Linked DNA regions of Caenorhabditis elegans. The protein of the gene in region 1 purifies or fractionates together with the protein of each later gene. This does not show direct contact. Each region holds a gene or a part of one and is shown on either strand. Other genes may lie near its edges. The genes, in order: T13H5.1 and pcca-1.

Region 1 (4,880 bases):
AAATGTCCTTCTCTCTGTGTTGCTCTCGTTCCCTTGCAGGAGCTCCGCCGTTTGTCTCATCATGTCGTTAACATTTGAAAAACAGAGACAAGAAAAACACAACAGAGATCCTCTTTTTCTTTATTTCTTTAAGATTTTCCTATTCGTCGGTTTTACGTTCTTCTCGTGTCTGTCTTTTTAACCGCAGACCGGCATAAAACTAAACGATATCTCGAGTTACCTATCGAGAGCAGTCTATGCTCTTTTCATTATTAAAGAGATATAGACACCTCTGTCATTTTGTGACTCACTTCTTTTTTTCAAAATCTTATACAGTTCAATACATCATTCATCATCTACAAAGGGCTAAAACAATTTCATAATAAATTAGTAACTGGTAGGGTACGGTAGTTTACAACAGAAACAGTTAAAGGCTGAGAAAATAAATTTGAGTAATAGCTCTATTGGAATTAAAATGGCCTCAATTTTGTAATGAGACGTGTCAGAAATTACTAAACGTTTTTTAATGGTGTGTCAAAGTAAAAAAAAATTCGGATGAAAGTAAATCAATTTTTGGCCACAATAACAAGCTTACAAAATTACTTACTTCAGCGCAATTGCATGAAATTGCTAACTCTATAACTTTTTGTGCCATTTTTTATTTCAGTCAAGTTAGCTATTCCATCTACAGTACTATGACGTCTTCAACATATGCAAAGTGGTTTCCAAAGTTTGTTCACATTTTGCTTGCCATTGTCTAGTTTCCCTTGAGCCATTTCATTGTTGACTATTCATCAGCAAAACACCGAATTTTCAATGAACTTCATTTTTCGTTTAACCCGTTTTTTGCATTTTTCTCGGACTATGAGTGAGTTATGTGTTCCTGAAAAATTGTAAATTCACGCCCGAGTGGAAAACTTTTTTGTCCCAAACTTTTTTTCCGTTTACAACCAGAATTTTTACCAACCTATTGAAATTTAACATCTTGAAAACATTACATAAAAACAGCATTGATTAAATTTTCAAATGCTGCACCTTTTTTTCTTTTTTAAATTTTGAACTGATATAAAACAACCAACCGGAAACCTGCTCGGGACATCACAAGTGCCGTCTTATGCTTCTTCATCTTTCATCAAGAAAACTCCATTAATTTTTAAATTTTTTCTGGGACTCGTGATGGTCTTTTCTCTGCACTTGATGCTCCTTTTTAGATGCCAACATTTGAATGAAAAAGATCACATACTGAAAAATCCATGTTGATACTTTCAAATTTCTTTTCCCATTTGCTTTTTTATTAAGGAATTTTGCTTCCTTGCTTATAATATTCTTAAATAATATTCTTCATTTCTAATCTGATTTATTTTATCAGTGACGTTTTGTTTTTTTTCAGTTTTCCGTTCCAATATCATTTTCCCTCCCAACAATGCTTCAACTCATTTCATAAATTACTCATCTCATAAACTCATCTCATAATGTCTCTAATTCTCTTCAACTCTCACACTCTCTCTTCTTTTTCTCACTATTGGATCACCGGGCCCCCTTGAACCTCAAAATATGACTGGATTGACAAGTCAAGCAAAAACCACAACAAAATCACTGATCTATTTTTGCAGATAAGATTTTTGCTGAACTCGAAGAAATCTTCATGCTTCTGGTTCATATTTATTATTGAGTTTGTTTTTGTAGAAAGCTCGAAATGATTGGTAGGTCAACTTTATCATAAAATGCAAAAATAGTCTTTTGTAAATCACACTAAAATGTTTTCAACCAGTTAAAGTAATTCGGTGTTTTTCAGAATCAAACAGCACAAGCAAATTTTCTTCATTTTTTCGACGAAAGCCAAAGGATGTAAAGTTGGATATGAATGGAAATGGTCTTGTTAGTCCTCATGATGGTAAGCCATTTTTATTTGCTCATCTGGATCCAGAATGTCTATGTTGTAATACCTGTCATAAAACGTTTTTGGTAAATGTTTAACGTGCCTATTATTCTCTAAGTTATATTCTGATTTTCTGATTATTAAAGGGATAGTTAATTGAAACATTTAAATTATCCTACCTTGATAAATTTATTTCTCGATTTCTTTTTCTGCTGTTGTTTTCATTTTTGTCTTAAATTTCACACTTCCATCAATAATCTTCCTCTGCTTCGGACATTTGTGTGCTCTTTTGTTCTACTTCAAATATTTTAAGGGTCCTTCATAATTTTCTATTATTTCTGAAGAAAGTGCTTCAAGTTTCCGCATTCTTCCAATTTTTCCAATTGTTCTCAATTTTACATTGTTCCACTCCACTTTTTTTCAATTTAATCAATATTTCTACCTTTTCCAAATATCAATTGTAACTCTAAGTCAGTTTGTCCGATTCTCACCCCTTCTCTGATCATAGTTCTTATTTTTCTCTTCGACTCTCTCAATCCTACACTATTTTCTGGAAAATTTCAAGTGGGGGTGCCGTCCCCAAAAAGCCGGCGAAATCGTCCTCATAATATTTGTGTTGCTCTTCGCTCCGTCGGCTCACCCAGGGGCTTCTGCTCCGAAAGCACTGTATATCTTCCACAACGTTTTTTTGAATGCCTTTCTGCTGACACTGGGGTTAGAGTGTTTTTATAGTTGCAAGTCAAGGGGGGAATTCCTTTGAAGTAGACAGTCTACCCCCAATTTCACAGTTCACTTATTTTCTTCATTTTCAATACAATTTTTAAATTTGATATTGGCTTTTAAAGTTTACGTACCTCAATGATTTTCTCAAAACCACACCCTTTGACTTTTCGCAACTTTTTTGTCAAGTGTAACACAGTTTTGTGGGTTTTTCTTCCAAGAGTTGACACTCTAAAAATTGTAACGTTTTGTTTTTCAGTAACTGCTTTTCTTTTATTTTTTGTATCGAATTTTTTTGGACATTTAAATAATTTTACGATAATATTTACTTACTTAGTTAGCATTCTTGAGCTTGAAATGAACTCACCTACTGCATTGTTTAAAAATAACAAGACTTTCATATTTTTCATGACTGTACATATATTTTTATAGATTAACACAATTATGCATCAGTAAGTTATAATTTCTAACTAATCATATGCATATGCTAATGTTTGGTACATTTTGAAAAATTCCAATATATGTAATACTTCCAAATTTTAGGCATTTATTTTTTAAAAGAATTATTGTTACAGAACACCAGGACGAGCTCGAAGATCCAATGGCATCTGTATCGATTCGTGTGCGAAACGAAGAAGGTGACGATTTTGTTGTCTCTCCAAGTGACGTTGTTGATAATATCAATGAGGTTAGTTATACTTTCGAAATTATACAAATACATTTTTAAACTTCAGATAAATTCTCGGCGGAGCAGTCGTCGAGACTCTACACCTGCTTCGTCAATCCGACGAAGTCGTCCCTCATCATCTGCATATTTCAATGAGAATGGGGAACCAATTGAAGGAATTAATAGAGTGAGTTGATGGTTTACCTGATTTAAATTATCAAAGTTTAATTAAAATGTTTATTTTGAAATACTCATTCTTTACATAAAAATATTAATTTAGCCACCAAGAAAATTTAAAAGTATGGACCACATCATGATGAGATTATTCAAACCGTCTAAGGTATCGTAAGTAGATTATTGATGTTCATGTTCTCAATTATTAAAACTGGCTTTTGTGCTCACAATTCAACAATCAATCATCGTTTCTTGTTACATTGTATTTATGTCTGTACGTCAGTTTTCTCTCGGTCTCATTTACTGATTACTGATGAGTGACGTTTTTGTCTGCGTCTAAAGCTGATTGTCTTTTGGTGTCTCTAACAAACCTCGTTTTTTAAAAAATTAATTGACAATTGAAAAAAAGAACCCTTTTTAGAAATATGAAAATTATTTACAGTACAATGTTTTTCAGTGTTAAAATATTTTTTTTAAATGTGAGCTGGACTTTGTGTTGTTTATAAATTGTCCAGATTAAAACTAATATTAAAATTTTCTTGAATCCATTTTTGAAATCATATCATTTAAGGCAAGGAAATCAAAAAGTGTTCGAGATGCCGAGCCGGGATTACGTTCCATGCTCTATGGATTGTCCCAAAAACAGTGAGTTTGCAAATTAAAAATCGTATGCATAAGGAACTTTTCAGAGAGAAGGAGGAGGCGATTGCGAAAAAGCTGGCAAAAAAGATGATAAGTGAGTTTACATTGAAAGTTAAAGTAGGACAGTAGGATAGAGGAATGTAGGAACGTTTCGAATAGTTTGAAGTACACTTGCAACATGGTGTACAAACAAGAGATCAAGAAAATGTCAAGGTTCACGTAGATCAAATATGTCACATATATAGGGGAAAAAATTAAAAATGAACAGTTGAACTTTGAATAGAGTTAATGAGTTGTTGATGGTTTTAATCAATTGTTAAAACGACTGTGGTATGTTAGTAAGTCCGAGAATAAAGAACATCCTAAAATTAAAAAAAAAAACATCAACAAAATAATTTTAAGCATTCATGTAATGGGGTTTGAAATAATCTTTACAGTCAATGTTTACAGGTGGGAACTTCGCCGCGTACCCCCCGTTTTTCATAACCTATTGTCACTCAAAAAATTAAAGAAAGCGATGAGGGGTTCCCGTAACAGACAGTCCGAAAATCAATAATAACGAAAAATCCCATAAACTCCCAATGGTTGTTTCAATGAACATATCAATATTGATGGGGTTTCAAAGTTAAAGTTAAAGAGAATATACAGTTTGTGGCAATATTGAGTTGCCAAAAGTGATCCTATTACCTTTCAAAAAAAAACCAATTGATCTTTACACTGATCGTTGCGCGCCTCCATAACATCCAATATTTGTTCCACGAGGTATTACGTGTGAATGGTGATAAGTATCTATGTCGTCGTGTTGTTCTAACCGTTTTC
Region 2 (5,924 bases), on another chromosome or scaffold:
AACTGTACAACTTTTCGTATTCGCAAAAAGAGCTGCCCGAATTGTTTTTCTGTCTGCGTCTAGTTTGTCTTTACACGCTCTATTATTGAGGTCACCATTGGTGTCCTTATTGATTCAGATAGTATCTCCTCTATTACACGAAGACACCCCTTCTTCTATCGTTTGAGAGAATCAAAAAAAAAAGAAACCAACTATTCATCTCCACTTACTTTTTGATTCTCGTACACTATGTAGAATATAGCCAACTAATGATAACATGATAAAATCTAATTTTTTATTTCAGTTTCTGCTCTCTTCAAGTGTGCCGGTCGCTTCGTAATTATTTGGGTGTTAAGTATTCCGCTTCAGATCCATCATTTTGCAAACTGACACTTATTGAAATGTCGGACTATTACAAAACTCCACAACTCTTCTGGTGGCTCCTCATTGTTCCAGCTCTGGCTATCAACTACGTAAGTTTTAAGGTTTCAAGTGAAAAAAAACTATGTTTGATAAAAATAGATATTTCAAAGCTTCCACTTCGATCTATATCTTTGATTTTTAGATTTCTTACGCCCATCCAGCAGCAGCACTTAATATTCCATTAATTGGATCTCTCGTCCATAAGATTGGAACTGAGTATCCATTTGTTGCTCTTTTAACCAACCTTTTCGCCCTTGTAGCACACGCCGGTGAAGCTCTTTACGCTCTTTATCTCTGCCATAAAGCCAATATCAGGTGAACTTTTTCAGTTGATTTTATAACAAATTGTATTTTCAGTTTTGCTTCTACCGCAAAATGGGTTGTCCAAACGTTTATTCTTGGTTTCCCGTCACTCTCTATTCTCAGTCGATACGAAGCCAAGCAGAGGAAGAATAATTGACTAGTAGTTGAAAATGTGTCTGATAGTTCCTAAAATGTATTAATTTTGTTTTTTTTTGCCAATGCAATGAACGACCATTTATTATCAAATAAAATGAAGAAACTCAACGAAACATTCTCAAATAAACAACATGTCGAGAGAAAGGCCAGTGTGTGCAAAGACGCAGAGAAGATCACTGCAAACGCGCTCCGTTGAGGTTGCTGTGTGAGATATCTTGGACAACCCCGCGCATTATTGGACTGTTTTTTGTTGTTTTATTGATCATGTAGTGGTCAATGAGCAGGTCATTCTTGCCTTCGCTGTTGCCAGAGAAGGTCGGCTTTTTTCTTCCCTGTTTTTGGTGATTTTGCCGTTTTTTTTTGTGTATTGAGTGTACTTACTGTGTGAGTCTTTAGATTTTCCGTTTCACGCATACACGTTTTTTGTAAAATTATTAGTTTTTGTAGGACTCTCGGTTCAAAAATTATAGAAAACGTGCAGACTGGACTATGAATTATATTCGAAGTTCTTCATTGTAACATTGTGAGGTCGTCTTTCCAACTCTCAACCTATCCCGGTGATTTTCTCGGTTTCTCTGCGTGTGTGTGTTCAGAGGACGAATACGTGCAAAATCGCAAGAAATGGGCAAAGAGAGAGAGCGGGGCAACTGCGCTTTGGGTCCATCAGAAAAGAGAGATAGACAACTTTTGTGAAAATCTTGTTGCGGGACAAGGGCACCGCACTTCTTGCTTTTCTCTTTTCTGGCCAGGCTATTTACTTCGTTGCTCAGTTGCCATTTCTGCATGTTTTTCTTATTTTTTCTACTAGTCGAAGTTTTCCTTCATAATCAATATAAAGAGAGTTTTCAAGGCATCGCTGTTTATCACTTAACTGACCAAATCAAATCGGTCGTCCTTATCTTTCTCCATCGAAGTTATACACGAAACTGTTTTTCTCCATCATCTTACTTTTTTCTTTTGTGAACTGCTGATGTCGTTGTTCATTTTATCATGAAAATCATTGTTTTTAGGTTGAACCATGCTCCGTGCTGCATCCAGTATCCGCGCTGTGGCCAATCGTGGATTGGCAACTGCTGCTGTTGCCAGACCAGGAGTGTAAGTTTCTGAAAGTTGTATTCGGTTTTGAGATCAATAGGTTCAATTTCAGACCACTTGATGAACGTGAGGGAAAGGAGATTTACACTACTGTAGGAATCGATTACAATGAGCCAAAGTTCGACAAGATTTTGATTGCCAATAGAGGTAATCTCAAGCATCTAAAAGAATCTTAGATTTAATCGTCTATTTTACAGGAGAGATTGCGTGTCGCGTGATCAAAACTGCCAGAGCTATGGGAATCAAGACAGTGGCCGTTCACTCAGATGTCGACAGCAACTCGCTTCACGTAAAGATGGCCGATGAGGCTGTATGTGTTGGAGAAGCTCCAACTGCCAAATCCTACCTACGTGCTGACCGCATCTTGCAAGCTGTCGAGGACACCGGTGCTCAAGCGGTAAGAATTCTAACGTGTCTATGTAATGGAAGGATAAACCGCAAAAATCAAATATCAGAGGAGAATGTAAATTCTGTGGCATGAATCTACATGCACAGTAGCACAAACATATTACCCAGACATCCGACAGAGAATAGAGTTTTTGCAAAAGTTCAGAACACCGCTCCAAATCAACTACTACTGTTCAAGAAGTCAGAGCGTTCGCGCTTAACTTCAAACGGAGAGAATAGCTTAAAAAAGTTGCTGACTGAAAAAATGTGAAATAAAACATTCCCTACATTTTGATAATGCTCAATTTTTTCATGCTCATATCACCTGGCTGAGATATGAGGGTTTGAAGTGATGAAGCTCTAGAGTTCCCTCTTATGGCCTGTTGAAAACTGTGGTGAGGTCAAATTATGAAAAGCACGAATTACCGCATTTTTCAGAGGACAAGCTAGGGTCAAACAGTTTGACAACCCGAGCGAGAGCTTTTGGCTGTGTAGCAGCTTAAGATTTACCGTAATATATTAGAAACCAGTTACTTGTAATATGCACGTGATATTCACCTACTTTCACTACGAAACACAACAAAACAAAAATTCTGTGACAAGTGACCAAGTGGTCTCTTTCCAGTCTCTAGCATCTCGCGTGTTTCATTTTCAAATAGTCAAAGTCAAATGACGAGAGATAGATTGCAAGTGTCTTCTGTTATGTTTTTCAAACAGAACTGCTAAAAACGTTGAAAACATATATTTGCAGGTTCATCCAGGATATGGATTCCTTTCCGAGAACACCAAGTTTGCCGCCGAGCTTGAGAAGGCTGGAGCCAAGTTCATCGGACCAAACTCTAAGGCTATTCTTGATATGGGAGACAAGATTCATTCAAAGAAAATCGCTACCGCAGCCCGTGTCAGCATGATTCCAGGATATGACGGAGAAATTGCTGATGAGGATATGTGCGTGAAAGTCTCCCGCGACATTGGATACCCAGTCATGATCAAGGCTTCTGCCGGTGGTGGTGGAAAAGGAATGCGAGTTGCCTGGAACGACAAGCAAGCTCGTGAAGGATACCGTTTGTCCAAGCAAGAAGCAGCTTCTTCTTTCGGAGATGATCGAATGCTCGTTGAGAAGTTCATTGACAACCCACGGCACATTGAGATGCAGGTGCTCTGCGACAAGCATGGAAACGCTTTGTGGCTCAACGAGCGTGAATGCTCCATTCAGAGAAGAAACCAGAAGGTTATCGAAGAGGCTCCAAGCAGCTTTGTGCCACCAGAGATGAGACGCAAAATGGGAGAACAGGCCGTTCAGCTCGCCAAGGCTGTCGGTTATGACTCTGCTGGAACCGTCGAATTCCTCGTTGATTCTCAGAGAAACTTCTACTTCTTGGAGATGAACACTCGTCTTCAGGTAATATCTCAGTATGGCCTAAATGTTTAATTTTTAAATACTCACAGGTCGAGCATCCAATTACCGAGTGCATCACTGGAATCGATATTGTCCAACAGATGCTTCGCGTTTCCTACGGTCACCCACTTCCAATCACCCAAGAGCAAGTGCCACTCAACGGATGGGCTTTCGAGTCTCGTGTCTACGCCGAGGATCCATACAAGGGATTCGGTCTTCCATCAGTCGGACGTCTCTCCAGATATGTTGAGCCAAAACACGTCGACGGAGTTCGTTGCGACTCTGGAATCCGTGAGGGATCGGAAATCTCTATCTACTACGATCCACTTATCTGCAAGGTAAAGGATAAATTAGCATTTAGATAATTTCAAGTGACTTACTTTGTAATTTCAGCTCGTTACGCACGGAGACAACCGTGAACAGGCTCTGAACCGCATGCAAGAGGCTCTCGACAACTACGTCATTCGTGGAGTCACTCACAACATTCCACTTCTTCGTGATATTGTCCAAGAGAAGAGATTCCGTACTGGAGACATTACCACCAAATATCTTCCAGAAGTGTACCCAGAAGGCTTCCAGGGAACCAGCCTCTCACCAAAAGAGCAAGACGTTGTCATTGCCTTTGCCTCGGCTCTCAACGCTCGTAAACTTGCTCGTGCCAATCAATTCTTGAACCAGAACAAACAACGTAGCACTCATGTGGCTTCCTTCTCGAAGACCTACAAGTTCGTGTCTTCTCTGCCAGTGAAGGAGGGTGAGAGGCCAACCGAGCACGCTGTTGAAGTCGAATTTGTCGAAGGAAGCGCCAACAAGGCCCAAGTTCGTATTGGTGGAAAGACTGTGACTATCAGTGGAGATCTCAACTTGTCTCATCCAGTCAACTCAATTGAAGTCGATGGAGAGCACATCACCACCCAAATTGTTGGCAAGCGCGCCGGAGAGATCACCGTTCTTTACAAGGGAACTCCATTCAAGGTCAAGGTGCTTCCAGAGCAGGCCGTCAAGTACTTGCAGTACATGAAGGAGAAGGCCAAGGTTGACTTGTCCACAGTTGTGCTCTCACCAATGCCAGGAGCAATCAAGAACGTCAACGTTAAGGTAACATTATTTTATCACTACCATTAGATGTGCTAAAACTGATTCAATTTACAGCCAGGAGATATGGTTTCCGAGGGACAAGAGTTAGTTGTCATGGAGGCTATGAAGATGCAGAACAGTCTTCATGCTGGAAAGACCGGACGCGTCAAGGCCGTCAATGTGAAGGTTGGAGCCACAGTCGACGAGGGAGAGGTGCTCGTTGAGCTCGAGTAGATTATTCTCACTGAACCTGAATTTTTTTTGTTGTTTTAATTACCGTTTTTTTCCTAATTTTGTACAATTCAAAGCCGCCACTATCTGGTATGGAGATTGATAATTTCATTCGCAGTTTCTCAAATTTCAAGCCATATTTATATTTTATTTTTGATGCCATTACCCTCACCTGTTGTATTCCAATCATCACGGACGTATTTCTCAGCCACCACCCTGTTTTGTTGCCCCAAGTATTATGTAGTGAATAAATATTGTAGAAGGCATTGCAAAAAGGTTGTTATATGAAGAAAAAAAAGCATTTGCTCATTTTTTGAACTTTTCAATTAGAAAATTATATATCTATTCTGTTTCTACATAACATAAGTGCAGATGTTTTGTTGATTAAATTTTCTATTTTTTGTGAAATAGCTTGTGTAAACTAAACATTTTACCATAGTCCATAATTGAAGCTCGGAAATAAGCGTTGTGAAAAAACTTGTCAGTTTGCAAATCTGTTTTAAAAATTTCAGATTTCTCTTTTTTATGTTCTTCTTTCATGTATCTCAATTTCAAAATATTGAATAGCAGTGCCAATTGATTATTCTGAAAGAAAATTGACAAAAAGACGAGTTGAGACGAGAAGATGAAACAGAAAATGATGGGAAGAAGAAAAAGAAGAATTTTTCTTCCAGTTTTTTTTGCCGTTTTCTGTTCTTTTCAATCTCATTTTAACTCACGTTTTTTGGTTTCGTGTGAGTAGTGTCACACTGATATTGTTAAATTCTGTTAACTTCTAGTTGAGAAAATAAATAATGTCAATATTTTAATAAAACTTACTTGTAGCACTTTCAGATCTGTAAGATGTCTAGTATCGGTATAAGTAGATACGAAG

Evidence for each region.
Region 2: the proteins of T13H5.1 (region 1) and pcca-1 fractionate together in Caenorhabditis elegans (co-fractionation; one large-scale study listed by BioGRID). This does not show direct contact.

The regions. Positions count from the first base shown.
Region 1 is NC_003280.10:8,505,761-8,510,640, reverse strand, and holds the start of T13H5.1 (Receptor-type tyrosine-protein phosphatase kappa), read left to right. Parts: upstream 1-1,585; 5' UTR 1,586-1,675; coding exon 1,676-1,682; intron 1,683-1,774; coding exon 1,775-1,873; intron 1,874-3,153; coding exon 3,154-3,266; intron 3,267-3,312; coding exon 3,313-3,432; intron 3,433-3,525; coding exon 3,526-3,585; intron 3,586-3,990; coding exon 3,991-4,064; intron 4,065-4,108; coding exon 4,109-4,155; intron 4,156-4,880.
Region 2 is NC_003284.9:7,656,934-7,662,857, reverse strand, and holds pcca-1 (Propionyl-CoA carboxylase alpha chain, mitochondrial), read left to right. Parts: upstream 1-1,871; 5' UTR 1,872-1,879; coding exon 1,880-1,956; intron 1,957-2,008; coding exon 2,009-2,103; intron 2,104-2,153; coding exon 2,154-2,353; intron 2,354-3,094; coding exon 3,095-3,745; intron 3,746-3,792; coding exon 3,793-4,080; intron 4,081-4,135; coding exon 4,136-4,840; intron 4,841-4,894; coding exon 4,895-5,053; 3' UTR 5,054-5,346; downstream 5,347-5,924. Other genes in the region: dhs-29 (NADP-retinol dehydrogenase), read left to right, coding at 284-452, 545-717, 760-862; F27D9.12 (RING-type domain-containing protein), read left to right, coding at 5,894-5,924. UniProt on the Caenorhabditis elegans protein: This is one of the 2 subunits of the biotin-dependent propionyl-CoA carboxylase (PCC), a mitochondrial enzyme involved in the catabolism of odd chain fatty acids, branched-chain amino acids isoleucine, threonine, methionine, and valine and other metabolites.